Linked DNA regions of Oryzias latipes. The protein of the gene in region 1 purifies or fractionates together with the protein of each later gene. This does not show direct contact. Links are inferred from orthologs where the notes say so. Each region holds a gene or a part of one and is shown in the gene's direction. Other genes may lie near its edges.

Region 1 (7,986 bases):
ATTTTAAATGTTGGAGTCTGCCTCACAAGTGAACATTGGTGATCTTTTGCAGCTGATTTATTGAATTTTTTTAATGTTTTTTTTGTTTTGTTGTTTTTCTCTTCATGTTCCTCTTTGCCATGCAGTGAAATGTGCCTGGAACACGCCGGCTTTCTTTGCTGAGAAGCTCCATAACTCCATGAAGGTGTGTATGAACCTGAAGTTTACTTGATTTAGAATTTATATTACTTTTGTCAATAAGTTGGTAAAATACTGCAGTGATAAAGTATCAAAAGGTTTCTAGCTATGTAAAACTGATCATATAGATAGATAGATTACTAATAAGTAACGTATTTTCTTTTGAGAATCGGTTTTCAAATGTAGTAAAGGTTTAGACCATGAAATATCAGGAAATCTCTTAGTTTGGCTAATACCATAATATCCTAGCATGCCTGGTGATGGTATAATAGGATCCAGCATGTCATGAATCCGTTACAGGGCAGCGGCACGCGGGATAACACTTTGATCAGGATTCTGGTGAGCCGCTCCGAAGTGGACCTGAAGAAGATCATTGAGGAGTACAAGGCCATGTTTGGCCGACGCCTGCAGGAGGACATACAGGCAAGAAAAAGAGAACTTTGTCTTTTTTGTTCACAAGGTACTTGTGCTGAAAGTATTTGTATTTTACAGAAAGACACTAAAGGAGATTACCAGCAGATCCTGCTGGGATTGTGTGGACCTCACTGAAGATCTGAACCCATCACTTGGACATCCAAAAACTTTGCATCAATTAAAAACCCAACATACTATCTTAACATCTTGTGAATCTCGCTATTCTGTTGATGTATCAATAAAGTGCTATCCCAAAACATCTAGTTTCTAACCAGATCAATAGACAAAAGAACCAATTAAAAATTCTTGAGTAAAAAGGGGACAAGAAAATTCTCCATTGATTGGTAAAAATGGAGCATATGAATGTTTTTCTCAAGATCCCAAACTGTTAAGTCACACCTGAGCTACGTGCTGAGCTAAAGCAAAGTAGATAAAATGAAGGTATCCAAAAATAGTTTATATTCATATTTCTATATTTTGTAATATTGCTCTGACATTCTTCTACATCTAAATAAAACCTGAGACCCTGTGTGCACTTATGGAGACATGACCCTGCGAAGGCTTCCCTTATTCAAGAACACTGGTAAAAGGAGAATAGATTAGGATCACTCCCTCTACTTCATATCGATTTCTAATTAAAAATGGAAATGTTTTCTTGAAACACCTATTGGTTTTTGTGTTAATGTTTTATTTTTGACAAAAGGGCATCAGTTTTCTTTTTTGCACACAATTTTAGAATTTGAACATGTTTGGAACAGTTAAAGTAATTCATACTTCTACTACAACAAAGAACATCTCCCAGCCGCCTCATTGCTAAAGGATTTCTGCAGTTTCAGAAATCTGTCATCTTTTTTTCCTCTCATTGTGTTGATATATTTTTTAAACAGCCTGAGCAAGTTTAATGCTTTAATTTCCCTCCTTAAATTGTTTAATTTACAATGAGCATTTCTGATCATTTACATACTAGAACACTGACGGAGCTTGCATAACAGAACATTTAAAAAAAAAACTGTTGTATTCAAGATAAAGTGTACATGAAATGGCATTTAGGTATTTGTGTTTTGTGATTTTACAATTCTAAAATTTTCTGATTTTAAGTTTTTTTTCACACAAAGCTTTTTATAAAATTCAAAACTCCCCTTTGATAAATTTGAAACTGGGGGTTTACACTCGAGGATTTACATCTTTGAATGAAATGTTTGAAACAATGAAACAGAGGTATTAAATAGTCTACCTTTTACTGTTCAGTGAAAATATTTCAAATTTAACACCACTATTTTAGGTGCATGGGTGTCAATTTGTAGTTCAATATTTAAATTCATATCTCATAGAAAGTCCATGAAGATCTGCATTAGAATAGTTATGAGGGGCCAGGAAAATATTTAAGATTTAAATGTACTATTGAAGCTCCGCATGGAGAAAGTTTTTTCTTAAATCTATTCATTTTTTTATTTATTTTTTGTTGCGGGGGGGGGGGGTTGCTCCATAAATCCATTAAGGTGTGTATTAACCCATACACAAAATAACTGTAGTGTCATCAACCTATTGTGTTACTTGTCGAGGTCCTTCTGACACAAGTGAAGGTTCAAAATCTAATAAACAGTTTGGGTGAGCCTTGTGTCACATCAGAACTGAAATCCTTTGTATGTACCCTCAGGAGGAGAAACTGAGCGGTTGGAGAAGGATAAAAAAAAAACATTATTGAGACCACAAAGCAGATGTCTTACATAATAAGATCATTTATATTGATGAATGTAAAGCCAAAATCTATGGAGCCTTGGACATGACATTAAACAAACAAATTCACTTTTTGTATGCACAAATCGCTATATCTTGTGGCCACAAATCATCATTGTGTTCCCACATGTCATTATTTTGTGTATCACGAATGCTAATTTGAGGGAAGAATTTATTATTTTTGTTATTGTCTTGTTCAGCGCTCTGTAAAAGTCTATATAAATAAGAGTTTTGATTATAAAAACTTTCTTAAACAGATCAAAAGCCTTGCAGAAAGCTAGAATTAAAGGAAACCGTGATTTTCTGTTAACAAATTTTATTCCAATGAATCAAGAAATGGTTCAAAATTATTATGTTTTGGTATTTCTTCAACAAATCCTGATTGAGTTTAATTCTTAAAATTCCAGGTTTTTAACTGTTGACCATACTATCAATTGTTTTCTTAAGTTAAATCAAAGGATTTCAGTAAAATTTAATTCAGAATTGTTTTAGTGCTCTGAAAACTTAAGGTTTTAATAAAGATTTACCAAAAAAAATCAGAACATAGTACCGCGCAGGCGCAGCATTTACCCACAATACTCGCACGTGACGTGTCCGGAAGTGTCGTGGCTTAATGGACAGACCTGTTATTTTAACGTAATCCTTTTATTTCTTCGTGGTACTTTAGTTATTTTAAGCGAAACATTTTGAATGATGTTGTCGTAAGTTATCGGCCGGACCGGTGTGTTTGTTTTTCTGTTTATTTGTCTAACAGCTGTTCCAAACTACAAGGAAAACCTCTTTTCTGCCGAACCAGCCCAGCTGCTGAGCTAGCTAAGCTAACAGCTAACTCTTACAGAGAGAAGAGTTTGGAAGAAAAATGTCGGACTTTCCTCCTGAGGCAGAAACGCTCTGCTAGCCTGACGTGGGTGGCGGTTGTGGCAGCGTTTCATTAGCGATGTGAAGTGTTGGTGTCCGGGGCTCAGAATGGACTCGGAGGAGAAGTACAGCAGCAATGTCCTGTCCGGGGGGAAGCTGGGCATGGTGGAGGTGCCGGACTCCAGGTAACAGCTGCACGTCACCCTACCTGAATCATGGGCCCCACTGCGTTTCCAGTGTCATCCTTTGATGAGCTTCGGACTCGTGTAAAGTGTATTTCACCTTTTTGCGTTTGATTTTCAGAGTCCAATCCAGAAAAAGAAGGGAAAAATCGGTGCTATGATTCAGATGCACAATGAAGTCGTTTTGCAGCAAAAAGTTCCTGAGATCATCATGTTCTGAAGCTCCTGTGAACCTTAAGATTCACAGATGCAAACAATCTAAGGAATAATAATCAATGCAAGTGAAATGTTTGTCATCAGGGATGACTTGATTAATGTCATCATGTTGATCTTCACATAGAAAATGCTGTAAATCACTTCATTATATCTTTGTGTCGATTAGCATTTCAAACTATTTCATCTCTTTTTTTTGTGCCAAATCTGCTTTGACTTTATTTTTAACTCCTTATCTGTTCAGTTTAGTTATGTGAAGAATGTTTTTCATAACTAATCAAAATGTATTAAATAGAAATTTGCCAAATTAACCTATTTTTTGAAATTGGTGTTAAATCAGAAATCAAATTGAAAACCATCAAACAAAAACATTTGTTTTGTTACTCGGGTCAAGATTTTACACCCAGGAGTCTGTGCTTTGTTAGACCGATTAGTTTAGTTTTTATTTTTTTTATTTATACCACTACACACAATTTGACCATATTTTTTTTAAAGTTTCCCTCTTCCTATTCCATATTAAATTTGGGTCATAAAGAAAATAGTGTTTTGTTTCTCGTACACCTTGTTAATTTGTTTTATTTATTCTGCATATTTTTCTACATAAAATCCCAAAGCACATTACAGAATTACTTAAAAATCTTGTGCAATTGAGATGAAAGAAAAGATCCTAAAATGAAAACAAACCGCATGAACAGAATTACAGAAATATGAGAAATGCAAGCAATCGAACCATAAAACCCAATCCCCCCTAAAGCTGGTCTGAATAAGAAACTGCTTAAAGGGAAAGGGGGGGGGTCTTCCCCAACTATAAAACAGGTTTTAGGCACCAAGAATAGGTGTTGGCTACACCAATTCATAGAAACTTCAGAATAAACTGGTTTAATGTTTCTAAAAACAAATGGTAAAATCCTCCTTTCCAATCGAAGGGCAAAATAGAGAAAAGTCTGTTTGTCTCCTAGCTGATGTTTAAAGTCAGCATCCTGCACAGTTTGAAAACAAGTGAGTCACACAAGCATTATTGAAATGAGATGGGGGAAAAAAAATCTTTCACTGGTTAGAATGTGATAAAAGTGTCCCTAATTAGGATCTATGTCTCATATTATCAAAGCAAATATAGAGGTTTTCGAGGCTTCACTGGACAGAAGAAACTGAATAGCTAATTTTCTGGGTTTTTATGAAAGATCAGTTTAGTTTTTGCTGAATCCGTGTGGAGAGTACGATCAGCTAACCAGTTTTGCACGACTGCTACAATAAGTCAAACAACTTGCTAAACCCCAAATCAGTAAAAGGATATAAATCGCTGCATGCCACCTTTTTATACAAATATCTATCCATTCATCTTCAGAAACCGCTGAGTCCCTTTCTGGGTCACTGGGTTGCTGGTTCCTATCCCAGCTACTGGTAGCTGAAGTTGGGGTACACCCTGGACAGGTAACCAAACTGTTGCAGGGCCATGCTATCACATTCACACCAAGGAGCAACTTGGAGACACCAATTAACCCGTGAGGCATTGGACTGTGGGAGGAAGCTGGAGAAAACGCACACGTCTATGTACGAGGAGAGAGAGCACGCAAACGCCACACAGAAACGTTCCAGTCGGGATGTGAACCAGGACCACCGGATGCTGTGAGGCCTGATGCTGACCACTGCAGCCCCTTTTATAGAAATCCTTCAGATAGTTGATAAGTTGACCAAGCGAGCCAAGAAACAAAAATACAACATCAAACGGAGGCCGGAGTAGCTCCAGAAAAAGCTTTGCGATGCATTTCTCCTCTGAACTTGGCATTCAGGTGCAGATAAGCCTCCAATGTCAGTCAGGCTCATGGACTCAGTTACTGTTAAGGTTTATAACTGTTGAACACCTCATGCACAAGAAGCTCAGGTGACGTTTGTCTGCAGCATTTTCTGTCCAACGGTCAAGTTATGGCCATTGACTGTATAAAAGAACTGGACTGAGAGGCCCCTGCCCCCCTTGCTGGTTCCAAACAGGAAGTACTTGCTGGTTCCAAGAAACCAGAATCTCGTTGACTTTTATATAGAAATCAACAGCTGTTTGTCAGAATTAGCATTCATGCTGTTAGCATGTTGTTGTTGATCTTATTCTTTTTCAGGATATTTTTATTCTGTAGTTCAAGTTATTCTAGTTATAAACTGACCAAATAGAAGGAGGTGGTTTTATGTTGAAACTTCAAAACGTTTGATCAAGAGATGCTCCTGAGCCCACTTTCAGTGGTCGGGGGTGTGGGCTTCCAACAAGCTCACTCCTGATTGGTGAGAATGGTTGCCATAGAAACGTTGACTCAACCTGACTTGCAGCATTCACTGCTTTACTGATGTCGACTGAATGGACTTCATTCGGTTGGAGCTGAAAGTAAACCTTTTTCTATGGGTGACGTCACACTCTGTCCAGTTCTCATTTACAGTCAATGGTTATGGCTGAAGTTCACGCTCATTGATCAGTTTTTTGTTTTTATGCCAGTGGGTGATGGTTTCCAACAGGATCTAAACGTCTGAGAATAAACAGCAATAAACGTTTTCTTCATGACGCATGTTTGTCTCCTGACAGGCTGACGAAGTACATCGCTCTGCTGGTCGTCTCCAAGGTGCTCAAAGCTTTAGGAGTCTTTGAATCCTACGACATCTTAAAGTTTGTCCACATAGTTCAGTTCATCTTCATCTTAAAGTTGGGGTGAGTTTCTTCATTTCAGAAGCACCGGGAGTTTGGTGTGTGTGACTGCAGCCTTTGGGATGTCATGAGCTGCTTCTTTTTTCATTTTTTTCAGGAGTGCTGTTATTTTGCTTGTCTTTCAAAAGCCTTTTTCATCCGGAAAAATCATCTCCAAAAGACAGGTGTGTTGGATTCCCTCAATACCAAAGATTTGCCAGAAGAAGGGAAAGATAAAAAAAAAAAGCTGTTCCCTTTTGGATCCCTGACGGTTTGTGTTGATCATTTGAGAGTTTTTTCCCCTGCTGTTTTTCAGTGGATAAAGCTGCTGAAGCACGCCGTTTTCAGCTGCGTGGTTTCCCTCCTGGGCTTCTTCGGCCTGACTCTCTGTGGTCCTCTGAGGTAGGATGCACTGTGGTGATGTGGAGCTGCAGCTGCTTCTGTGCGTTTACCAGCGTGTCTCCTGCAGGACTCTGCTGCTGTTTGAACATGCTGACGTGGTGGTGGTCGCGCTCCTCAGTGTCCTGTTTACCAACTCCGGAGGAGGACCGTCCAAAGTAGGACCGCCCTGTTCACTCACACTCTTTACAGACTCTCATTTTTAATGCATTATTGTTGTGAGGAGGACTGGAAATGAGCTATTCATGGATTAGAATGACATTTTCTGCAGAGATTCTGTTCTTTCCTCCATTTCAGTTCTGTGAAATCTTAACTTTTGGTTCTGTAAGCATCTTTACTGCTTCTATAGGGAGGCCATGGGCTAAATCATAGTTTAACCATGGCTATTGTCTATTGAAATGCTGGAAAAATACTTTTTTTTCACTCTGTCAGTCTCTGTTGTTTCCTAAAAAAGAATCTGAGTTTTTCTTTTTTCTGGATGGTGTCTCTGTTCAGACCAGAGGAGCTGCTCTGTTCATCATCGCCGTGATCTGCCTCCTCCTCTTCGACAACGACGACCTCATGTCCAAAATGGGAGATCACCGTATCCTTGGTTGCTGTCCTTCTGCCCAACTTTTCTGCTCGCTGACCTGTTAACCTTGACAGATGTCTCTGCAGCTGAAGGACATCACGACAGCGCTCTCACTCATTTTCTCTACACGGCCATCTCTTTTTTGGGCGTTGCAGATCATAAAGTACGGTTCTTTTGAATGTCTTGTAAAGCCAGCACAGGCTTTGCATCGTGACGGTCCCATTCTCTGCTCCCTGTTAGGGTGGAGTCGTGCTTCTGGTGGTGTCTCTGTTCCTGAAGGTTGGCTTCCACACGGCTGCCAGGAAGTTGTCAGTGGAGATCGGAGGCTCCAAGCGTCTCTACGCCCTGGACAGCTTAGTTTCTGCCGTGGTGCTGCTCCCCTGGGTGATATTCCTGTCTGTAACCACAGAAGTGAGTAAACTAGAGGAGATGGGACTTAATTGGTCGTTTCAGCATGGCAATCCTTTAAGAGCATCCTTAAACAAGACGGCGTCACAATAAAAAAATATTTTCTAAAACACTGGTTGAAGGGGTGGAGTTGGCTTTTCATGATGAGGTCTCACTCAGTTTGCTTTGATGAACTTTTCTCCTGTTTTTTGTGTTCGCGACACTCTGGTTGTGCAGCTCCGGTTTTGTTGATGTATTCTTGAAGTGAGTAGCCGTCCAACCGAGCTTTAGGAGGTATTAATAGAGCGCGGACACTGTTGGAGCCCCAGAATTTTCTATTCCTGAGGTTTTTCTTGGTGCCATCTTAACTTTTCTCTCTGCTG
Region 2 (7,700 bases), on another chromosome or scaffold:
ATGGTATATTCCTTCACAACAACACCCAAACGCTTCATGTGTTCAGAGCTGGTGTGGTTTCATTGCTGTAGTGCAGACGTCCGGTCACAGACTCGCCGGGAACGTCTCCTCCTCCTGAGCGGTTCAGAACACAGACTTAGTTCTGGAGGAGTAAAGGTGTTTACTGACAGAGTGGAGCACAGAGGCTCGTCCTGAATGTGGAGATTCAGGACAGTGGAGTCAGGCATGTCCGGATCCTGGGTTTCAGACGGTCTCACCATAAAGTCCAGCAGGATCCGGTTTGTTCTGCAGAACTTCTGCTCCCTAATCTGTCCATCGTCTGCTCTTCCCAGGATTACCTGGACCTGGCGGCGTCCACTCCCGCTGACGCCCTGCTGTACGACGACGCTCTCTCTGAAGAGGACACCCCACTAGTGGACTGTAATAACGCCCCCCTCCCTCGAACCCTCCCCTCCACATGGATTGAAAACAAGCTCTATGGTAGAATCTCCCATGCATTTACTCGCTTTTAGAGACAGGACACACAACTCAAGCTGTGATTGGCTTTCCGTAGTCCAGTGTGTGTGACTGTGATCTAGGCATGCCGTTTGTGGTTTGATGCTGACATATCTCCCATTTCCTGGTAAATGAGAGGCGCAGTGAAAAAGGGGTTTGTGTCTTGACTTTTTTCTTTACTTGGACCTGCTTCAAATGTACATGAAAGCTGACCAAAACACATAAGGTTTGTAAATATGGACCATACATAAACATAGATATACTTTTTTCCTATTTATAATCTATTCCTCCTAGCCACGCCTCATTTTACGTAACCTGTAAATAGCCTCCAGCTCCCGATCGCAGCTCCTCATTGGCTGATGGAGGAAGCGTCGTGTCACATTGGAAACAGGTCCGCTCTGACTCAGTCGTTCGTTTTGGTTTGGAGTCCAGGTTGTCTTACATGTGCAGAGTTTCTTATATGTGTCGGCATTTGATCTATTTTGACTCCATACCCTGAACATATAAACAGTAAGGCTTTTGAATGCAGCTCTCAAGTGACGCTTATTTAAATCTGTGATTTTAGCTTCACACGTTTGCGATTTCCAACCGTTAATGGAAGGCGGTCCTTCACGAAAGGATGCTTCATTGATGAGAAACTGAAACCAAAGCCCCGTTAGTTCCAGAGGCACTGCAGAGTTTGATTTGAGAGCCTTACTCCCTGCACACTGTTTACCTGTCACTGAGTGCAGAAAAATGATGTGTTCTCGTTTTTAGGCATGTCATACCCCAACTGGCCTGAGAAGAGCCTGGTACCGCTCAGCAGACATGATGCCACTAACCCAGTCTTTACAAGATATGCCAATGATAGTGTTTATGCAAACTGGATGGCTTTGCCCTCACCCCCAAAAGCTGTGGACACGCTTGATAGCTAAAGACAGCCCTGTAGAAAGATGACTAGATATTCTGTACGGCTGTACATAAAAACAATCCGATGGTAAAGTTGGTTCCCTTTTATTTCTGCTGCACGGGTATTCAGCTTTACAAAACCAAGTCTGTTCGCTGCACAAGCGCCAGGGTCAAACAGACCCGTGTGTTATGGAGCTCTCCACTGTGTTAGTCGTGACCTCACAGGTCACGTTGGCCAAACTGTATCACTGCATGACGATTGTCCCAGTTTTTCGTCGGTGTTGTTGTCCTTTAAGTGCCTGTGATGCTTCTACAAAAACCTCCTGCTGTCAGAGTGCAGCACGAAGACCAGTTCCAGTCCAGGACTGAACGGGGACACTGCACCATCACAGGCGGTAGACAGCTGCGACTGAGTCGGGACTGCTTCTGAACGTGGAAAGGTTCTACTGTAGGGGTTCCTGGAAATGTCCACAATGTTTCTCCAACAAGATGTTTCCAAGCTGCCAAACAAAAGAAGCTCCAACATGTTTTAGGAACTATCTTCTTAGTTTTGCTCTGGTATTTATGTGTATGTTTGCTGTTGTTTTTTTTACATTCAAACTTTAATCTAATAAAGCTGCTCTGTTTAAAGGATGTGAGACCGTGAGTTTGATGTTTTCAGCTCCTTTGTCCAAGTTTCCAATCACTGTCATGCTTGTGTAAGCCAAACTCTGTCACTGCTGTTCTGTTTTTTGATTGTGTTTCACTTATTAATAAACATTCAGATTTGAACCTTGTCCTTTCAACGTTTACATAAAGATATCTGTGGCACCATCGGCTCGTTAAAAAGTCTCTCTGTGTTTTATTTCTCATCTCACTAAACTATGACACATGCAGAAACGTTTGTGAAAAAAACAGATAAAATCAAGTCTAGAACTTCAAAGTTTGGTTCAAAAATAGAACAAAATTGATTCAAATTCTTTGATGTTTATTACATTTGGTGAAATCAAGATTTTAGACTTACTTCAAAGTAAGTTTGTACTAGAACTATCATTGTGATATTAGGTGTTCTAAAGTTTCAAAAATATTTTAAATCCACAAACAAAATTTTTTCATTTCCTTCAGGCTTAAACAAATGTTTGTTGTTGTGACAAAGAGGAAAAAGGACTCGAGCAGTAAGATTTAAACATTTGTATTTATGAGCTTTTCATCAGATACTTTGTGTTCCATGTTGTACTCTGACAATATACAACATTTTATAAAAAATGACATTCTTACATTTCTGAAACTTCTGTGATGAAGCCGAGGTCAGCAGTTCCCATGAGGTTCTGTGTGTTCCAGTCACATCTGATGGCTGATCATGGAAGTTTGTGGAAACATTTACTGCTTTACTTATTGAAAGTCAGTAATTTAACATGATTTCTGTTAGTGATTAAATCTGGAAGCATTAAAGGTCCAGTTCAGAGTCGGTCTAACTGTAGTTAGACTGTAAGTCATTCAAATCTAGATTTATTTTATATTTCAGAAATATGGGAAAATGTAAAGTAATTACGTACATTTATATATAATTTTTAATTTATAGTGTGCTTAGCATTTTAATGAATCCTCGAGATGCAACTAAAACCAAAAACATCCAACAGTTAAAAAAATGAACTAAATTAAATTAGCATAAAATGCAATAATTATATAGTAATAAAGATAAAACATTTGCAAAAAGGAATGTTTTTGTTGTGAGCCTCAGCATGTCTGATGACGTAAGGCGTCAGCGAAGCACCCATTGGCCAGTTGAGGACCGGAAATTGACTCCGACCAGCTTCTTTCTGTGCTCCGTGGCATTTTGTAGCGGGACAGGCAGCAGCTGCTTCCCCAGCAAACACGCGGCTTTAAGGCGAGGAAGAGATGAAAGATAAAACAACCAAGTGAGTCATTTATTTTTTATTCAACTCTAGTTCATAAAAATGCTGTTTTTGACTATCAAAACATGCTAAACACATAGCAAATCTCCGTAGATAGCTAAGCTAGCTTTGAATTGTTCGGTGTTTCCGGTCGCGGTTTTTCACAATAATTTCACACTTCCTGCTGTGGTTTCTGATGGTTTATCGCTAATTTTTCACTTAAAGAAGAAAATAAACCCTCTGGAATTTGTGTTTAGTGAACTATCCTTCTATATACTGGAGATAATATTGTGATTATAATTATTTTTATGCTCAGCAAATGTCACGCTATTCAATCCGTGAGCTATTTGAAAACCTATTGAACTTTAAAGCTATAGCTGCTCTGCACAATTTAATAAAGAGCTTGACGTGGTGCAAACATGATTTCGGTTTAGTTGTTTAATTTTTCTGTCTAATAAATCAGCGAGACTAACGGTGATGATCCGGATCGGCTGTTTCACCGGAACCGAACCTTTGACGTTGATTTACGCGCCTGTGGCTCAGAGGACGGTGACGGTTTCTGAGCCCAGAACTGAAGCTGGGAGACCTTTAAACACAAAACCACTAAAGGGGAAAGTTATAAATCTTTAGACAGACTTCATTAAAAGACTTCTCTTTGTTTTGTTTCTCGATGTGGTGATTTATTCAACACTTTGCTGAATTTATTTTTGTTTAAACTAGTTTAGATTCCTGATGACATCGTTTGATTTATTTTTATTCCCAAAGCTGTTAAACTTTACGATCAGCCTCTCTGCCATGAAGCTCCGTTTGTTCGTATTTATTCGTTCATTCTCGTTCAAACTGAGTTTTTACATGAAGGCTCATGTTGTTGTTCGCACGTATTTGAAGTTGAGTCCCGTTATCTGTCACGCGCCCAGGTGCGTGAAATGTTCTTTGGTGGTTTAAGCGTAATCCTAACAGTAACTAAGTTCAGGTTCACCTGTTTCCAAAATGGCGTGTGAATTTTTAGCCGTAATAACAGTGAGTTTCTCAATATGAGAGCATATAAAAAAACGGTCTTCTCTTATTTTGTAAGGTAGACAGGTATACCGGAAGTTAGCATGACCATCTCGTAGCAGCTCGTGAGCCGCGGCGCTAGCTCTGCAGGTGGAGCTGATCACTCCTGTCGTTTATTTGATCACTAAAATAATAATTGAAAATGGTTGGACGTTGAATTCGTGTGAATTTCTGTTAGAATCCGGTTGTTTGTCAAAACGCTTCAGTTCTTCTGTTTCATTCTCATCTTTCAGTCAGGAGCACTGATTTCAGACCTGCTTCCTTTGTCTGATTGGCTGTTTCGTCTGCGTCCTGGATTCTCACAGGAGCCCCCCATGGAAGGACAGATGATCTTCAGCTGAAGATGACCTCCATGCATTTGCATGTCTCTCCTGGAGGCGCCTTGGGAGGATGTGAGCGGAGGACACGGGGATGAAGTCCTGGCCGCTCTAGTCTGATGAGGACGCCATGGCCCGGCGCGGGTTGCCGTTTCAGGGCCGGGTCCGCTGGCTCTTGTTGGGCCTCCTGCTGTTGCTGGTGCTGCTGCTGTTTGCCTACATGCTGGAGTGCACGCCGCCTGCAGACGTGAGCCTGGTTCTGCCCGGCCCGGACGGAGGGAACTATGGGAAGGAGTACTACCAGGCTCTGTTGCAGGAGCAGGAGGAGCGCCACCTGAGCCGGGCCTCCAGCCTCAAACGGCAGATCGCTCAGCTGAAGCAGGAGCTTCAGGAGATGAGCGACAAATTAAAACTTCTGCAGGACAAGAAGGAGCCCCCGGGAGTTCAGGCCCTCGGAGAGAATAAGGACCAGGAGCCGGGGGACCTGCTGGAGTACCTGCACTCCCAGATCGACAAGGCGGAGGTCAACGTGGGGGCGCGTCTGCCCAGCGAGTACGCTCTGGTGCCCTTCGAGAGCTTCAGCTCCTCCAAGGTGTACCAGCTGGAGATGGGGCTGACGCGGCACCCAGAGGAGAAGCCGGTCCGCAAGGATCGGCGGGACGAGCTGGTGGAGGTCATCGAGGCCGCGCTGGACATCATCAACAACCCCGACGAAGAGGACGGGGTGGAAGACGACGCCCCCATGCAGAGGCAGACCTACACAGACGCTCACTTCACTGAAGGTAAAGCTGTCAGACGGGGGCGGGGCTTCTCTCCTGGCTTGTTACTGATTGGCTGGTTTGCTCCGGCAGGACTCTACAGAACGGAGCGAGACAAAGGGACGCTTTACGAACTCTTCTTCGCCAAAGAGGACTCCAGCAGCTTCCGGCACGTGACCCTCTTCAGGCCGTTCGGCCCGATCATGAAGGTCAGGAGCACGTCTGTGGAGACGTCGGGAGTCATCATCAACATCATCGTGCCGCTGGCGGGCAGAGTCGACACGTTCTCTCAGTTCCTACATAACTTCAGGTGAGGACGGAGCCCCGCCCACAGCCAGCGGTCTGGTGATGTGCTGATGAGACGCCGCCTGTCTTTCAGGGAGGTGTGTGTGCAGCAGGACAGGCGGGTACATCTCACCGTGGTGTACTTTGGGCAGGAAGGCCTCCAGGACGTCACGTCATCTTTGGAGAAAATGTCCAGGTTGGTCTTTTTCCAGCTGCGAAGCGTTTCCTGGCGTCGGTCGTGACGTTTGCGTTCTGGCACAGAGAGGAGAGCTTCTCCAATTACACGCTGGTCCCGCTGGAAGAGGAGTTCTCCAGAGGCCGAGGTCTGGACGTCGGCGCTCACGCTTGGACGGGCGGCGACGTGTTGATGTTCTTCTGCGACGTGGACATTCACTTCACGCTGGAGTTCCTCAGCAGCTGCCGCCTCCACACAGCTCCCAGTAGGTTGGACTGTTCTCTGCTCCTGCGTCGATGACCTGATGACCTAATGACCTGATGACCTGATGACCTGTCTTCATTCTTTGCAGACAAGAAGGTCTTCTACCCCGTGGTGTTCAGTCTGTACAACCCGGCCATCGTCTATGGGAATCTGGAGCTGGCGCCGTCTGTTGACCAGCAGCTGGTGAGAGGCGTAAAGCTGGACTTGGTCGGTTTTACTTTGGAAAGACAGAGTTTCAGTCCTTCCTGTTGTTTTCAGATCCATAAGAAAGATGCCGGGTTCTGGAGAGACTTTGGGTTTGGGATGACCTGTCAGTATCGCTCAGATTTTTTAAACATTGGTAAGTTATTGTTATTTCCTCCATATATTCTGTAAATCTGTGCCGGTACCGGTCTGTTGGTACCAGGCTACAATGGGGAAAATCACTGATCTTTATTATCTGATTCTGAAGGAAGTTTTATTTTGAAAAAGTGGTTTCTTTCCACCACATCCCAGTCATTCTTGACGGATGTCATGCCGCTCCGTCACGTGTTGGAAATCCATCCGCTGCTTTCTTAAAGCGGCCGCTAAACTGAAACGCCCAAGCGAGCAGAATGAACAAAAACAAACATTTTTGGAAAGTTTCTTATGGCAGAAAAGAGGAAACACAAGAGGAGACTTCCACTTCAAAATAAGAGCTGCACTTAACAAAGACCAGGAGTCTTTACTCCAAATATGGGTTTATGGTGACAGTTGATCCCACAGACCATAATAATAATGCAGAATATTCAGAACCAGCTGTCTGTTATGAAAATGCTGCTAATAAAGCGATTATATTTAGAAAGCAACAACTTTAGTGACAGCTTTTTAGGTATTTCTTAAAAGCTGGAGGCTGAAGTTGGAATCTGATTTGTTTGTTTAAAGCAGGGGTCTCAAACTCGCGGCCCGCGGGCTATTTGCAGCCCCCAAGATGATATTTTGCGGCCCCCACCTTAATATGAAAGTTTAATGTTAATGCCGCCCGCCAGTTTGTATGAATGACACCTTTTCAGTTTTGTGCGACGAGCTGAAGAACCAACCAATCACAGTGGGGTATAGGACTCTTGGGGGCGGGACATTGATCAGGCTTGAAAGCAGGAGAACATTTAATTCAGGTAACCTGACCGCCCCCTCCCCAGACCACATTAAGGAGTTCCTTACTTCACTTTTTAGAACGTATCTACATACATGCAGTCAGTGCTGAACTTTTCTCTGGGCCGCACAGACCCGGAGGAGGGCTGAGGTTATGGTTACGCGCGTGCGGCGTATTAACCCCAACACGGGTCTCTCCGCTCCCGCAGGAGGAGATGGGTCACTGCGGAGAATAAATGTCTCACACCTACATGCGTGACAGCTAACGGGGCTTTAGCATTAAACACGTGCGAGCGACAACACGATGTAGTCTTAGACACACTGAAAATACGTAGAGAAAATGCAACGATAGACGTGAGATGAACCAGGGCCGCGCCTGGATCCGCCTGGGGGGGGGGATGAAACGAAGGCAAAGCTGCAGCCAGACTGAAGGAGGACAGGAAGTTGGAGTTAACATTCAATTAGGTTTTAATTTTCC
Region 3 (7,808 bases), on another chromosome or scaffold:
TTTAGGGGGAGAAGGAAGAGGAGGAGCAAGAGGAGGAGGCGGGGAGGGCCCCTCCTCTCGGCACGCAAACACATGCAGTATGGACTCCGGAAAACCTCACAGGAAACTCCAAATCTAGACTTCCTCAAAAGGCAGTTAAGAGAAAAAAACTTTCATTGTCTTCTACATGATTCCTCCAACTCTGTTATGAAACACAACTCCCATCCTTGGTCAAAATGCAACCTGGAATGTGATCTCTAATTTGTTCATAACAAATAAATTATATAAAAGTATAATATAAGGATTTTAATATAACTAAAAAAAATTTACATATGATTATCAGAGACATGAATGCAACTAAGGGACTTATTCAAAATCGTATTTTGGTTTGTGCATCACAGATGGAAGAGAACCTGATCGGATATCGTTCAAACTGTTTTGTTTTTGCTTCATGCACGTTCTAAATTGAGAAAATTTGGAGGGTGAAGTGGTTTGATGCATATTTGCGTCAATATGCATCAAAAAGTTAAATGTCTCCTAAATGTTTTCAAGAAAACTCCATATTTTTCCACCTCATGACAAAAACGAGGGCTGGTAAAAAAAACAAAAAACAACAAGATTTCATTTCAGAATTTCAAAGACTTTCCTTTGAAGCCACAGAGGCTGCTATACTGCAGATGGGGACTCGTCTGAAAAAGTGGGCTTGGTCTTGCAAATGGACTTCACTACAGTTTGCTTAAGGTGTAAATGTGAATGAAACAAAGCAACGTTTAAGCCTAAAAACTCTGAATGTCATCCTCCCTTTTGGAGCTGAGAATCCTCCACAGCCAGGCATTAAGGAGTGTTAGTGGGAGTTGGTGTGCACAGAGCACGCCTCATCACCTGAGACTGTCTAGCAGCTCACCTTGGCTGTTAAAAACAGCACGCAGAGCCTTTTAAAGCAGATTTTAAAAGCAACCCTTCTTGAAATTCAATATTATTATCAGAAACTTGAAACTGTAACTAGACAATAGTTATTATTCCTGAAACTAGTGCAGCTTTTCCCTTGTTGTTCCTGGGCAGTGGGTGCAGCAATTGTTACATATACTCGTTATTTACAAATTTGCAAAATCAATTTTTTGACCTTTTAAGCGTATTATAATGTTCATTCCTCACAAAAAACAACCCCAGGGTGGTAAATTTGATTCATTCACGCATAGAAAGACCAAAGTCCACACTAGGGTTATTGTCTTTTCCTCTCACATGATTTCATGCGCACCTCAATTAGTGGTACAAGAATCCATTCATGAAAGATTAATCTAACTTTGTGGGAATAAGCTTGAGTTAAATTCTTTTACCTAAATGGATACAATATGTACAATATCTTTTAATGATTTGGCATTTAAAAATATAACTAAAAATGCCTTTAAACATTTTATTTCCTTACCAGCACTTTTTATTTACATTAATTAAAACATACAGCTTCAAACATGAAACCTTCATCTTGGGTCTTTTAGACTGTTTTGTTTTTTGTGGTAAAAAAAATCAAGTTTTGTTTGCAGGTTTTGAACGTTTAGTGAACAAAACACACATTCCTCCCTTTGGTTCACCTTCAGCCTTTTGGAATTGAATCGATTTGGTAGATGCGAGTTTGTGATTGGACGTCTTGTTGTTTGCATCACGTGTACATAAAAAGGCAAAGACGGTAGAGACACAACAGGAAGAGAAACCAACAAAGTTGACCAAAAGACGATTCAGTTCCCTATTGATTTGCCTTTGATGCCTTTTTACTAATCTTGTTTGTGTCTGTGGCTGGCAGCCAATTCTGCTATTACCATGGTGTCTGGATTTTTCGAAACATATCTGTGTCATTTACATCCCTAACTCCATCTGAGCAGAGAAGAACCAGAATTTCCAGGTGTGAGTACACTCCTGGATTCAGCTATCAACTCTTTTTTGGGATTGGAACGATTATCAGGATCAGAACCTTTTTTTCCTCCTCTCCTGTTTTGACGTGGCCTCACTCCCTCCATCCCTGCACATTTTAATGACAGTTACCCAGGGCCCCATTCAGCTCAGAAAAGGGTGGGGGTGAAGGGTGCTCTCCATTCAGCTCACGACATGTCCACAGACATAGCCCCTTTACACACGCCGAGGATCTTACTAACTTTGATGATGGTGGATAGAATTCTGGAAGGTCACATTTAGTCTCCATAAGAAAAAATGACAATGGAAAATAAAAATGTGAGTTCTGCACATTTAACACATTTTTTCTGCCTTTTGATTACATCATTGGGTCACCTCTAAAAGCTCATTCGTTTGGACTTTTTTGTTGTTAGGTAATCGTGTTGTGCTTCAGGATTAGAACAACTCTATTTTCTATATACCGTAGTAAAAATAAAAAAAGAAGACAGGAAAGTATCGTGTTAAGTATTCACAAAACATGTGAAACATCTAAACCTCTTAGCTTCTTCAGCATAGAATAATGAATTACTCAAGAGACAAAAAGAAACAGCAAATTTTCTGATTTTAGATGTTATTAGGAAATTTTAAACCTTTATTTTATATTTTTGATTGATTGTGTTCTTATTAATTTTCCTATTCTGAGATATGGGCTACCATAATAAATTATGTCATGGTGGTTATATATTAACCTTTACCATCTTGAAACAGCTTCTAAACAATTGGATTGAGTGTTTTCAATGCATTTATTTAAATTATTCATTCATTCATTCATGAAGAATGTTTTTGGATGGGGGGAGGAAGCCGGAATTCCCAGAGAAAACCCAGGCAAACACGGGAAGAACATGCAAACTCCACACAGAAAGGTCACCCATTGGTGTTCTGTTTCGGGTCCCCCAGCCGGCACTTGAACCAGGGGCCTTCTTATTGTGAGGTAAAAGCGTCACCGTGCAGTGATTATAATTTAGTATTTAACTTATATCCAACTTTTTCTGTTTTAATATTATAAGTCAACCATATCTGTAGTTAACTGCCTAAAAGCAATTGCCAGCATTGATTGCTGTGAGAAAGTATTGCAGCAAAGTCTAATTTATTTATGATGACCTGCAACACATTTCAAAATGTTTGATTCAATAGTTTTTAATCTCATGTGTTACAACATTTATCTAACTCTACAAATGTATTGTGTCCTCTATATTTAAATTATCTTTTGGCCAACATTTGTCTGAATTTAACCACAAACTTGCTCTATTTGAAAAAATGTTTGTACATTTTATTAGTATTATTATTTTTATGTTCGTTTCCTTTTAATTTTGCTGGAACGATTTTTCTTACAACGCATGCGCAGGTGAACCGAAGAGGCTCATGGGTACAGGAAGTCCAAAATGGCGATGGACGCAATGATGTCCACGTCCACCGGTCTTTCTTACAGCAATGTCGGGGAGTTTTACCCCCGAAAGTTCGGCCCAAAGCCGGACGTGGTGCCCTCTGGGGTGACGGAGAGGAAGGTGGGACCGCTGGATAAGCCTGACATGGTGTCGGTGGATGTCCTAAACCTGCAGAATCCAGGTTTGTTATGCTAAAGCATGCTAACAGCTGCTTCCGAGTCAGAAAAAGAAATGTCCTCATCTGTCTGCTTATTATCCGTCACTAATAAGAGCTTTACGGGCTTTTATGAAGACCCCCCCCCCCCCCCCACACACACACACACACAGGCTGTGTTACCGTCTGCTAATGTCTGAATGTGGCTGACTGGTTTGGTGGACCGCTGTGTGTGTGTTAGTTAAGTGCAGGTGGAGTTGAAACACTTGTCTGATTGTTGGACAAGCTGGAGAAAAACTAAACGACTGTAGGTTAAAATTTTGAATTCATTTATTTCTGTTTACTTTCTTGCTTTTAGGGGGTTTAGTTTTGAACCTCTTGATTTGTTTGTTTTTTTAGCTTGATTATTCAAAAATGATCCCAGCTTTATGACAAACTGGAAGTAGCCATCAGAAGATGGTACACTGTGGTCATAGAGGGATGGACATGGTGACCAACAAGACTTTGATGTTGTAACCATGGTTAATTGGTACTAAGTGGCCCAAAGTGTGCCAAATAAAAATATCTCCTGACCATTATACCACCACCACCGCCACCAGCCTGAAACGTCAATACAAGGCAGGATAGATGTCCTTGAGTGAGGGGAGAGGGCAGCTGATGATCCTCTGCGCTGTCTTTACCACTCTATGGAGGCTCTGCCGTTCTGCTTCAGTGCAGTGGGAGAACCACACTGTGATGCGTTAGGACAGGATGGTTGAGCGGTAGAAGGTTACCAGCAGCTCCTGGCTTACATTGTTCTCTTCCTGAGCCTTTTCAGGAAGTACAGGCGCTGCTGTGCCTTCCTGATGACAGTCATGGTGTTGTTAGACCATGTGAGGTCAGCCGAGATGGTGGTGCCCAGGAGGGTGAAGGTGTGGACCCACTCCACACAGTTCTCGTTGATGTAGAGTGGTGGTGGATCTGCTCTGTTTTTCCTGAAGTCCAAGATGATCTCCTTGGTCTTGGTGGTTTTCAGGATGAGGTTATTATTAGCCTGACACCACCTGGACAGTTTCAGGACTTCGTCTCTGTAGGCCGTCTCATCGTCCCCAGAGATCAGCCCCACCACAGTAGTGTCGTCTGCAAACTTCACTGTGGTGTTGCTGGTGTGGGCTGGTCTGCAGTCTGCTGTGTAGAGCGTGTACAGCAGAGGACTCGGCACACATCCCTGTGGGGAGCCTGTGCTCAGCATCTGGGTGGAGGAGAAGTAGAGTCCTAGTTTGACTGTCTGTGGTCTGTTTGTGAGGAAGTCTTTGATCCACGAGCAGGTGAGTGGGTGGAGTCCTAGTTCAGACAGTTTGCTGACCAGAATGTCAGGAACGATCGTATTAAAGGCTGAGCTGTAGTCCACAAAGAGCACCCTGGCGTAGGTGTCTCTGTGTTCCAGGTGGCTCAGTGCAGTGTGGAGGGTGAAGGAAATGGCATCCTCCGTTGATCTGTTTGCTTTGTAAACGAACTGGAGGGGGTCAAAGGCTGGAGAAAGGCAGTCTTTTATGTGTCCTTGGAGCAGCCGTTCCAGACGCGTGGTGATGACAGGAGTGAGTGCAACTGGACGGTAGTCCTTGAGGCAGGCTGTGGATGACTTCAGGCAAGCAGGGATGGAAGCCTGAGCTAGCGACAGGTTAAAAATCCTTGTGAAGACTTGAGAGAGCTGGTCGGCACAGGCCCGCAGAACCGTCCCAGGAACTCCAATTAGGCCCAGCCGCTTTCTTGGGGTTTACCCTGCTGAACATCCGTGCCACGTCCTGTGCCTGCACAGTCAGGGTTTCGGAGCTGGAAGCAGAGTGAGGATGAGGTGATGGGACTTCAGACTGCAGTGGTGTGTGTGGTCAAAGCGTGAGGAGAACGCGTTCAGCTCTTCCGCTAGTGCAGCGCTGGAGTGTGCCTCGGTGCTGGTCTGTCCCCTGAAGTCCCCTGAAATACTCAGACTAGCTCAGCAACAATGGTTCAAAGTCACTTCAATCATCTTCCTTCCACATTCTGATGCTCGGTTTGAACTACAGCAGATCATCTTGACCATGTCTATATGCCTAAATGCATCGATTTGCTGTCATGTGATTGGCTGATTAGAAATTTGCGAAAAGAGCAGTTGGACAGGTGTACCTAATAAATTGGCCACTGAGTGTATAGTGTTACAGTAATAATATTTAAATAATAAATAATAAACCAATTTAACATTAATTTAAAATGCTGATTTAATTAAATCTTTGAAGAAAAAAATAGACAAAAAGCAACTAAGTGTTTGCTAAATGTTGCTGTTGTTAACATGTTCTTGTGGCATTTTTGTAATGATAAAGGATATATCGTAACAAAATTAAGCTCATATGGCATTTTTCAGTATTTCTTTATTCAAATTGTTCTGAATCAGGAGCGGACGAAAACATGCTGTTTGAATGAGAGCTTACTTGTGACAGAAAAAATGCTGGATGGGCTACAAGCTTCCTGCTTTCAAGCATTAGGCTAATTTCAAAATATGTATCAATTAAAAAGTACATATAAAATATATCATCAAAATAGGAGGCTGAAAGGGTAGATCCTTCAGTCTGATTTTCGAAATCCTCAAAGCAGCTGAAAACCTCACGGAGGCCCCCCCGCAGAGACGGTCCACAGAGACGGTCCACAGTGTGGACGGAGCGAGGCTTCTCTGTGGGCTCTTGTTTTGTGAGCAGACCTCCACCTGGGGATCTGAGGGCTTAAAAAGATCAATGACAAGAAGGCCTAAGACTATTAAAACATTGATAAACCAATTCATGTTTTTGTTTTTTACGCAGGTAGAGATTGTTTCTTTTTAGATCTCTAGGGAAATTACGTGGGATTCTGTTCTTCCAAACACTTATTAGATCACTCACACAGATTGAAACACACATTACAAGAATACATGAGTAAACAATGTGTTAAAATACAACAATTAACCCAATAAAACAGTTCAAAAGAGAGAATAAACAGTAATTGGACATTCAGTGTACCAAGCCTCCATCTCAAGACTGTTCGAAGCATATATTCCCTCAGTGTGTCATTCTATAGCTTCAGCTGTTAGAAGGAATCGATTTTGTGCTCCAATTAAAACAAGGATAGCAGAAATTTGGTTTAATCATTATAAATAAGTCAATGTGATTGTGAGTCTGTCATTTGTTGTCATCTTGGGGTTCTGTTTTTGTTCTTGACGCCTTTTTTCCTCCTCAGATGTGCCCATTCACAGGAAGAAGCAGGAGCACGACACCTATGTTTTGGTGAGTGTGCTATCTGAGGGGTAGGGGAGTTCACACAAGCACACAAATGCACCAAACTTCACGTTTTTCTCATGATGTCGCACATGAAACATCTGAAACAGAAACTCTTTGTTCTGCCAGCTAAATGAATGTAGAAAACATGAGAACAAAGTCATGTCGAGAGTCATCATCCTCACATGGAGAAAACCTGGAAACATTTTACTAAGAAGAATCAACCAACCAACTAAACTGAGTCCAAGATTCATCCAAGAAGCTTTTTTTTACTAGTATTTCAAAAATTTGTGAGATCTACCACAGTTACAGTTTTATAATAAAGTAAATAAAATGTAATTATTTAAATTTAATGGTAATTCATAGATTATTCTTTCTTAAAGCTAAACTTTAAAGTTGGAAGATTTGTTCAAACAAAAAAGGAAATCAGAAATGATCTGTGGAAACCTGGTCCAAGTCCTGCCACTTGGGGGCAGTATAGGTCAACTGTTGGGCTAAAACTGGGGGGTTTCCTTCATGAGGAAAATAAATTTCATCTGAAAACAAATCATGTCTATTTTTCTAGATTTTGTTAACTTCAGAAAATCTAACTTGCTGGTTCTTTGACATGAACAGTCAAACAATCAATGGTCATTGAACGCACCATCATACCATTACAGCAGCAGAAGGTCCTCTCTGTTGCAGACAGAGGCCTTTACTTCTAATGGGATGTTTGATGGCGTTTTTAAACATGAAAGTGTTCTAGTTGTTTTCCTGAATACACATGGATAAGCGTCAACTTCTGATCATTGCATTAAAGTGATTTATGTCTGATGACCCTTGTTGGTTTGCTTGAACCCAAAGGGCACTTTTCATCCTTTTCGGAAGTCCAACAGATCCGTCGTTGGGAAGTTCCTTCAAGAAGTTCGCCTTGTTGCCTCGGATCGACGGGTAAGTTTCAAAATCTAGTTTGTAAGCCATGATTTTTGATTATTTATTACTCCATATAGTTAATCTTTAGCTCATCGTCAGTCCTGGTACTTTCCATTCACTGCTTGGCAGGAGGAAAACCCGTACATTGTAATCACATTACGCTGTAAGCCTGTT
Region 4 (7,802 bases), on another chromosome or scaffold:
ACAAAAGAACTGTGAGACTTTTGGTGACATCCCTGGTGTATTTATCATCGCAGATGACATGATCATAGCAGCAACTTCAGAGCGCGAGCATGATGAAATCCTGCAAAAGGTAATGGAGAGAGCGAAAACAGCAAATGTGAAGTTTAACAAGGACAAAATTCAATTCAAAGTAGACACAGTGAAATACATGGGTCACATCATAACTGCAGCAGGCCAGAAAGCAGACGACACAAAGATTAAAGTCATTATTGACATGCCAACTCCAGAGGATAAACAAAGTCTCCAGCGTCTTCTGGGAATGGTAAAATTCTTGGCACAGTACATCCCAAATGAAGCGTCGGTTACTGCACCTTTGAGGCAGTTACTAAAGAAGGACACTGTGTGGCAGTGGCAACCACACCACACAGCTGCGTTAAGCACACTGAAGACGGCGCTAACTCAAGCTCCAGTTCTGAGATTCTATGACCAAACTAAATCCTTGACTCTACAAGCAGACTCTTCAAAAGATGGACTGGGTGCTTGCCTGCTACAGGATGGACAACCTGTATGTTATGCGTCACGAGCACTCACGGACACAGAAAAGAGATACGCCCAAATTGAAAAAGAGCTGCTTGCCATTGTGTTTGCTACCAAAAGATTCCACCAGTATGTCTATGGAAGACCAGTGACTGTGCAGTCTGATCACAAGCCTCTTGAAGCGATCATGCGCAAACCGCTGTCCAAAGCACCAGCCAGATTGCAAGGAATGCTGTTACAGCTGCAAAGGTATGAACTCACTGTCACATACACGCCCGGCAAACACATGTTCATAGCCGATGCCCTCTCTCGTGCTACAGCAACCAGTGACAATGACTCCACAAGTGAAAATGGCTGTGATGAGAGAGTTGTGTATGCATTAGAGGCTACAGAGGCACTGAGTGAAGACACACTCAATAGACTGAGAACAGCAGTTGCAACAGACAGTGAACTACAAGCTGTGTGTGAAAAACACATTCATGGGTGGCCAACTAAACGTAAAAGTTTAGACAGAGCACTATATTGCTATTGGCCCATGCGACACAACATCAGCATTCACAAAGGCATAGTCATGGTAGGAGACAAGATCGTGATACCACAGAACTTCCGACAAACTATCCTGGAAAAACTGCACATGGCTCATCAAGGTATACAGCGCACGAAAGCTAAAGCAAGAAAAGTGCTATACTGGCCTGGTATGTCCATTGATATAGAGACTATGATTCAAAATGTGAACAGTGCCAGCAAATGCAACCAAAGAATCAGGCGGAGCCACTTGTTCCACACATGATTCCGGAGCTGCCGTGGATGAAAATTGGAGCAGATATTTTCGAGCTGGAGGGTCAGCCGTATCTGCTGTTAATTGATTACCTGACCAAATACCCGGAGGTTCTCAACTTACCAGACAAAACAGCTTACTCTGTCATTCAAAAGATGAAGTCAGTGTTTGCAAGACACGGGATTCCCAAAGAAATAGTGAGCGACCATGTCCCATTTGCCAGCTATGAGATGAAATCATTCGCAGATGCTTGGGAGATTAAGCTCACTCATTCCAGCCCTGGTTTTCCCTCTTCAAACGGAATGGCGGAGCGAGCCATTAAGACTGTCAAACATGCACTAAAGAAAGCAATCCAGACCGGCACTGATCCACATCTAGTGATGTTATCACTGAGAAACACTCCAGTTACTGGATTGAACTTGTCACCCGCACAAATGTTGATGGGACGAGTCCTGCGCAGCACCCTGCCATGTTCTAGTAATGTGTTGAGACAGTCAACTCCACAAAACGTGCCAGAAAAACTACGAGACATGCAATCAAAGCAAAAGTTGAACTTTGACAAGCGTGCAAGACCACTACCTGTTCTATCTCCTGGTGACACTGTGCATATGCAAACCCGCCGCGGTTGGGAGCCAGCAGTCATCGTTCATCAAAGAGAGGAACCACGCTCCTACACCGTGCGAACACCATCAGGTAATACTCTCAGGAGGAACAGAAGGCATCTGAGGAAAACACACTCAAGTTTGTTTAAGGACACAACTCTGAATTTGGACTCGGATGGACTATTATCTCAAAACCCAGAGTCAGTTGATCCACCAGCATGTGATTCCCCACAGAAATCATCTTCAGAGAGTATGGAAAACACAGCACCGTACTTCACACGCAGTGGTCGAGCAGTCATACGTCCTGCCAGATACAGAGACTAGTTAATGTGACAGTTTTGTGTTCATACTGTTGCTTTGATTTGTTTAATGGTTACGTAAAAGAAAAGAGTATGTTCGTTTTAAAACATTTTAAGAAATAAGTTAAATGTTTGTATGTCGAAGTTTCAGACTACTGCACTAAGATGCACATTGTTAAATGTAAGGTTGTTTACAATCTGAATTTGCCTAGCCATTATGTTAAGAGCATAAGACCGTCTAATGTTCAAATTATTTAGAGGGTGCTTTTGTGTTTAAACAACTGTTGAAGATGTTATGACTAACATGTCTTGGGAAAAGAGGGATGTGGTATATTGTGATAGACAGTAATAACCACCGCCACCAATAGATGGTGCTGTCGGCCTGTATATGCCATGAGGGGTTTCAGAGTAAAGTACATGTAAAAGCTCTTGCACCGAAAGCTGTGTCCCTGTCGTCGGTCCTAATTAAGAGACCCGCTGATAGCACCCACGCTAAGGTAACTCGGAGCAACATCATATAAAGTCACAACAATTATTATTATAATTATCATCATCATCATCAGTCTAATGGAAAACATTTTTTTCCAAGTATTGAAAATCATGATCGTATTTGTTATTTTTATTGTTTTTACATGTTTGAAATAAATAAATCACTACATACATTCGGTATAAGTTAGATACTCTGTATGATTAATGGCTTGAAATGTGGAACCCCCTTTTCAGCAGGAAAACAGAAAGTTGCCGGTGTTTGCCGACAGGGGGCAGTAAATCCCCAAAGATTCGGTGCTATGTCAACCCAAACACCCAGAAGAAGAATGCGGATATGGTTGTTTTTATTGTTAAAGGGGGGAGTGTTTCTCATCCCGGCTCAGTTTCTGCCGTTTCAGCTCAGCAAACAAAGCTCCGCTTGGACTAAGATGGTGCGTAAATAGCAGCTTGCCTCCGTAAAGTCCCCCCACGCCCACCTCAGGTTGGTTTACAGTCCTGGAATAGGAGACGTTTCTCCTCTCGGGGTTTTCTCGTCTTACCTGCTCTTGTCCCTCTGCTGTCGGCTGCCGCTCTCTCGGCTCTCAGACATTGTTTTCCGTATGTGTCATCTACAGCTGAAGACTCTGTTTTTTGTAGCCTGGCTGCTGGGCTACGTGGCGTTTCTGCTCTCCATCAGGAGAATGTGGACCGCTAAGCACGCGCGCAGCCCGCTCGTGCGCTCTCTAGTCCTGAATATGGTGAATGAGCACGAGGCCAGTGGTGCCAGGGAAACACACGAGGTACGACTGTCCTTATTTTTTTTCTGAAAATATAAAACTACAAAATCTAAATTTACAGTGTTTATTTTAAATCCAAGAATGTCCTTATTCGAATGTGTCACGAATTTGTCATTAGTTATTTATTCGTTGCTCGTTTAGCCTCTTTGCACTGACCTAAATGATTCAGAGGGATGCTGAAAAGAGAAACTTCTGTTTTGCAAAAGAAACTATGCTGAAAGAGACAATGTGACAGTAGTTTTAAAGATGACTGGGATTGAAACACAAGGGGGGAAATTGGTTTTGCACAGGAAAGACTATTTTTTAACATTTAAATAGGAAATAATTCTTAAATTCTACTTTCTGCTGTGTAGTTTAACACAGCCCCACCTCTGCTGAGCTGAGAAAATTCAATCCAAACAGACCTGAACTGTTTTCAGGGAGGGGCTGTGGGGTAGGTAAAGGGTGGTATTGTATGAGACTGGTGACAGGAGATGGAGTTCACCTCAGGACTTCTTAAAAAGTGTTGTGAAATCAAAACCTCTTGTTCTGTTTGTTCAGTGGTACCGATGCTGCCCAGATCTGCTGGGAGAATCCGTCCGGCCTCTCTTCATCCAAAGCCACTTGGACTCGGACACCACGGATTTTCTCAACAGGAGCGCAGAGAAGTCCGGCTGGCTGTTCACGCAGCTCTACCACTCGCTGGTGTCCACCGTCCTAAGCCCCGTTTTGTCGCGCACCTCCATTAACGGGTGAGCGCTAGTGGGTGTTTGAATTGCAGCTTGTGTTCCTCTTCCTGCTCCTGACCCTCCTCTGTGTCACAGGGTTTTGGGGAGAGGGTCTATGTTCGTGTTTTCGTCCGAGCAGTTCCAGCAGTTGCTCCGGATCGGCCCAGACTGGACGGCAGAGAGACTCCTGGACCTTGGAGCTGGTGATGGAGGGGTCACAGAGGTGATGGGAGTGCATTTCAGGCAGGTCTTTGCAACTGAGGTGTCTGTGCCAATGAAGTGGCATCTGCAGAGGAGGAACTACAAGTGAGTAGAAGCATATCCTAAAAGCTTTCACAGGTTCCTTCCCTTCAAGCCAATACAAGAATGCAACCACAGAATAACACTGTGTTCTTTTGGGTTGAAATTAATTGGCAATTAGAAGTTTTTCCTCTCTGTCTTTTTGTTGTCTTTTCCCGTGTGCCACAGGGTTCTGGGTATAGACGAGTGGCAGCATGTTGGATTTCAGTATGATCTTATCAGCTGTCTGAACTTGCTGGACCGCTGCGAGGATCCACTGCACCTCCTGCGGGAAATAAGAAAAGCCTTGGTTCCCAAAACCGGACGGCTCGTCTTGGCTGCTGTGCTTCCCTTTCAGCCCTACGTAGAAGTCGGTCAGTGAGGAATCCCATTTCTGTCTCTTCTGCTGACGTTTCATCTAGCTAGAAATCCAAGCATCGTTTCTCTGCTTGACAGGCGGGAAGTGGGAACGACCAAAAGAACACCTGAAAGTTAAAGGAAAGACGTGGGAGGAGCAGGTGACCGATCTGTCCAGCGAGGTTTTCCCGCGGGTGGGGTTTGAGGTGGAAGCGGTGACGCGTCTGCCGTACCTGTGCGAGGGAGACATGTACAATGACTACTATGTGCTGGATGATGCGGTTTTTGTTCTGAAGGCCTCCGGCGACTCGGAGCAGTCTGTTCATGAGCTCTGAACACAACACGGGGCCCAAAATTTCTTCTCAGTACCTGGATTTTAGTGCAATTCTTCTTCTTCTTCCTCATGCATTTATTCATCTCGGAAATTTAGAAGCAGGGAGTTGGGCGCAACACAGCAGTGATTTCCTTTTTCTTTTTTTTTTTAGTTTGTTATACTGTTATTTCAAACGAAAACCTAAGGGGGATCATCCTTTCTAAAAGTTTTTCTGTCTTCCAAGTCCATTATTTGTGATGTAAATGTTTAACTGTCAACGTTTTAACCAAAATTTCTGACAATATTTGCATAAACGGTTCAATTTATAGTACTACATATTTGATTTCACCATTGCACAAGATTTTTACAATTGCCTGTTCACCCTCTGAGACATAAAATCCCACAGAGGTTTTCCAGGTGAAATATCCCAGAGGTGAAGCACTTTATGAGCGTTTCACGTTGTTCCCCCCTCAAGGTTGGTAATGATGGCAAGATCCCAAGCATTAGTTGCACAATGCTGGACGCCGCTCCACTAAGATGCATTTGCTACACGACTGCAGGGAAAACATGCCGCTTGGCCTATAGGAGTGTCACACCTTTTGGCATCTTTCTGTTGGATTATCAGCGTAATTCTGTGCCACGTTTGGCACCACCAGATCCTAAACTTGATCATATTTTACGAACTGTTTCATTTCCAGATCACTCGTAATGGATCTATGCACCTGACCAAAACAGTTTTAACAACTTGAAATCTTTTCCATCCTTCGATTCAGTATTAAAGCCAAACCTCAAGCTAAACTTTATGGAATTCCATGCTTTTGTTTTGCTTTGTTGCACTGAATTTAATATCAAGTAGTGAATTTCTTTCTAAGTGACAACAGGAAACCGAAAAGTGCTGCATACGTTTGATATATTCACAATAAGAGTATCTGATTGTAGCTTTAGATCTATAAATTCGATCTGTTTTTACAGGATGTTTAGGTTGATGAGTTTTTATTTATCTTTGCTGTTTGGGGTTAAAGACAGGATTTTTAAAAGCCTTTGCTCTCATCTTCAGACCTTTTTCTTTTTCTTTTAATGGTGATGCAACTGCAGCTTCACTGCTAACACTGTTTAGTGCAGTTTGTGTTTAGTATTGGGGTAACTGGAGTGGCTGGGTTTAATGATGGAGGAAACATTATCTGGTGCTTTGTGGTTTAATTTCAAACCTTGCTGTGAGTTTAGGATGATGTCGGATGACTGCAATGAATAAATGTGCCATTTTGATTCTAATAAAACCCTTTTAAAAAAAAAGGTCTTTGACATTCTTGACTTGTTTTTCCACCTTTTCAACAAAACTCCTAGTGCCGGTCTTCGTAATTAAATACTTTAGAACAGAGTTGAAAGGCTCTACATCTACAATATTTTCTTTCTGTTCTTTAGATAATTCCCACACAAAATTATTAAATTATTCTGTGTAATAAATGTTATATATATATATATATATATATATATATATATATATATATATATATATATATATATATATATATATTCTTAAAAATTATTGTGCTTAAAGCATATTTTTTATTAGAGACTAAATGGAGACATTGAGAACAAATCAGGAGTGTTGATTCTCCTAAAGTGTTTTATCATAGTTGCATTACTTAAAAAAAGATCTGAAGTTTCAATATCAAAACATTTTCCAGCATTCTATGGTTGGTAGTTTGTGATAAAACTTTGTCTTTTTTATCTTCTTGGGCAAAAAAAATGTATATAGCCCAAATTCCCAACAACAGTCGTCTCAGTGGGCTTTGTACTTGTAATTGTATGGTAAACATACAATCAGAAAGGATCATAAATGCATAGAATCCAATAGGATAATGCTAAAACTTTAACTGAACAGACTAAACTAAACTGGCATCCTTTATTTAAATATAACTAAATGAATTAGGATTTTGGGATAGTTTTGACATATATACCATTTAATTGTTGCAGACCGTACAAAGTGTGATAGAAAAAATAATGCATTTCAGGAAATGTTCTTCAATACATTAACAAAACATGTAACATTAAAATTCCAACGCTAATGCTTATTTTTCACTATTATTCAAATCATGTCATAATAAAAAAAGTAATTATTCTTTGGTTTAACACATCTGCAAATCCAGAGTGGATTTGAAATTTTCCCCAAGCCGGTACTTGTTGATGCAAGCTGTTATTGATGATTCAATGTTTGTTTTAAATGTTTAAGGTAAAGAAGGTAATCAATGGCACCTTTTCATGTAAAAGACATATATACTAAAAAAATGAAACGTAAAGTTTTAAATAAACTCTGCTTTTACATTTTTAAGATGCACCGAAGTACCGGTAGTCAAAATTCCTGACTCCAGTGAAACAGGACATGAGAAGGATGCTGAAGGACGGGTTAGATGGCGGTGGGAGCAGCCAAAATGCAAAGATTCATACAGTCAGAATCTATTACTTTTTAAAGCCATCATTCAAAAACATCACTTTTGTAAGTAAAGTGTCACACAAAGTCGATATTAAATTGATTTACAGACTTTGTAGCTGACTTGGTGGCGTGATGAGCTCGAGTTTACTATTTTTTTTGGAAAACCCAAAGGTAACATTCGTAACATCCTTTATGCAAATCAGGGGTTTCCTTCTTCTGATTGGCTGAGCCACACGCGTTTCCAGCTTCTCA

The links. The genes of interacting proteins can lie anywhere in the genome.
Region 2: the proteins of slc30a5 (region 1) and csgalnact2 purify together in Homo sapiens (co-immunoprecipitation; 3 studies listed by BioGRID and IntAct, counting the BioPlex papers as one, with this or other methods). This does not show direct contact. The link is inferred for Oryzias latipes from reciprocal best matches to the Homo sapiens genes SLC30A5 and CSGALNACT2.
Region 3: the proteins of slc30a5 (region 1) and slc30a6 purify together in Homo sapiens (co-immunoprecipitation; 5 studies listed by BioGRID and IntAct, with this or other methods). This does not show direct contact. The link is inferred for Oryzias latipes from reciprocal best matches to the Homo sapiens genes SLC30A5 and SLC30A6.
Region 4: the proteins of slc30a5 (region 1) and mettl9 purify together in Homo sapiens (co-immunoprecipitation; 3 studies listed by BioGRID and IntAct, with this or other methods). This does not show direct contact. The link is inferred for Oryzias latipes from reciprocal best matches to the Homo sapiens genes SLC30A5 and METTL9.

Annotation. Positions count from the first base shown.
Region 1 is NC_019870.2:25,538,544-25,546,529, reverse strand, and holds the start of slc30a5 (zinc transporter 5), read left to right. Parts: upstream 1-2,892; 5' UTR 2,893-2,964; intron 2,965-3,082; 5' UTR 3,083-3,294; coding exon 3,295-3,371; intron 3,372-6,147; coding exon 6,148-6,270; intron 6,271-6,364; coding exon 6,365-6,431; intron 6,432-6,562; coding exon 6,563-6,648; intron 6,649-6,715; coding exon 6,716-6,803; intron 6,804-7,140; coding exon 7,141-7,228; intron 7,229-7,302; coding exon 7,303-7,379; intron 7,380-7,456; coding exon 7,457-7,627; intron 7,628-7,986. Other genes in the region: annexin A1, read left to right, coding at 126-184, 478-600, 670-726. UniProt on the Homo sapiens protein: Together with SLC30A6 forms a functional proton-coupled zinc ion antiporter mediating zinc entry into the lumen of organelles along the secretory pathway.
Region 2 is NC_019873.2:29,897,438-29,905,137, reverse strand, and holds the start of csgalnact2 (chondroitin sulfate N-acetylgalactosaminyltransferase 2), read left to right. Parts: upstream 1-3,166; 5' UTR 3,167-3,281; intron 3,282-4,546; exon of another isoform or gene 4,547-4,618; 5' UTR 4,619-4,760; coding exon 4,761-5,412; intron 5,413-5,481; coding exon 5,482-5,698; intron 5,699-5,767; coding exon 5,768-5,869; intron 5,870-5,934; coding exon 5,935-6,113; intron 6,114-6,200; coding exon 6,201-6,295; intron 6,296-6,370; coding exon 6,371-6,452; intron 6,453-7,700. Other genes in the region: proto-oncogene tyrosine-protein kinase receptor Ret, read left to right, coding at 333-480, 1,252-1,409. UniProt on the Homo sapiens protein: Transfers 1,4-N-acetylgalactosamine (GalNAc) from UDP-GalNAc to the non-reducing end of glucuronic acid (GlcUA). Required for addition of the first GalNAc to the core tetrasaccharide linker and for elongation of chondroitin chains.
Region 3 is NC_019873.2:10,851,573-10,859,380, reverse strand, and holds the start of slc30a6 (zinc transporter 6), read left to right. Parts: upstream 1-3,274; 5' UTR 3,275-3,305; coding exon 3,306-3,489; intron 3,490-6,684; coding exon 6,685-6,731; intron 6,732-7,565; coding exon 7,566-7,652; intron 7,653-7,808. UniProt on the Homo sapiens protein: Has probably no intrinsic transporter activity but together with SLC30A5 forms a functional zinc ion:proton antiporter heterodimer, mediating zinc entry into the lumen of organelles along the secretory pathway.
Region 4 is NC_019877.2:20,099,648-20,107,449, forward strand, and holds mettl9 (methyltransferase-like protein 9), read left to right. Parts: upstream 1-3,268; 5' UTR 3,269-3,283; coding exon 3,284-3,463; intron 3,464-4,000; coding exon 4,001-4,191; intron 4,192-4,263; coding exon 4,264-4,473; intron 4,474-4,635; coding exon 4,636-4,820; intron 4,821-4,902; coding exon 4,903-5,138; 3' UTR 5,139-6,409; downstream 6,410-7,802. UniProt on the Homo sapiens protein: Protein-histidine N-methyltransferase that specifically catalyzes 1-methylhistidine (pros-methylhistidine) methylation of target proteins.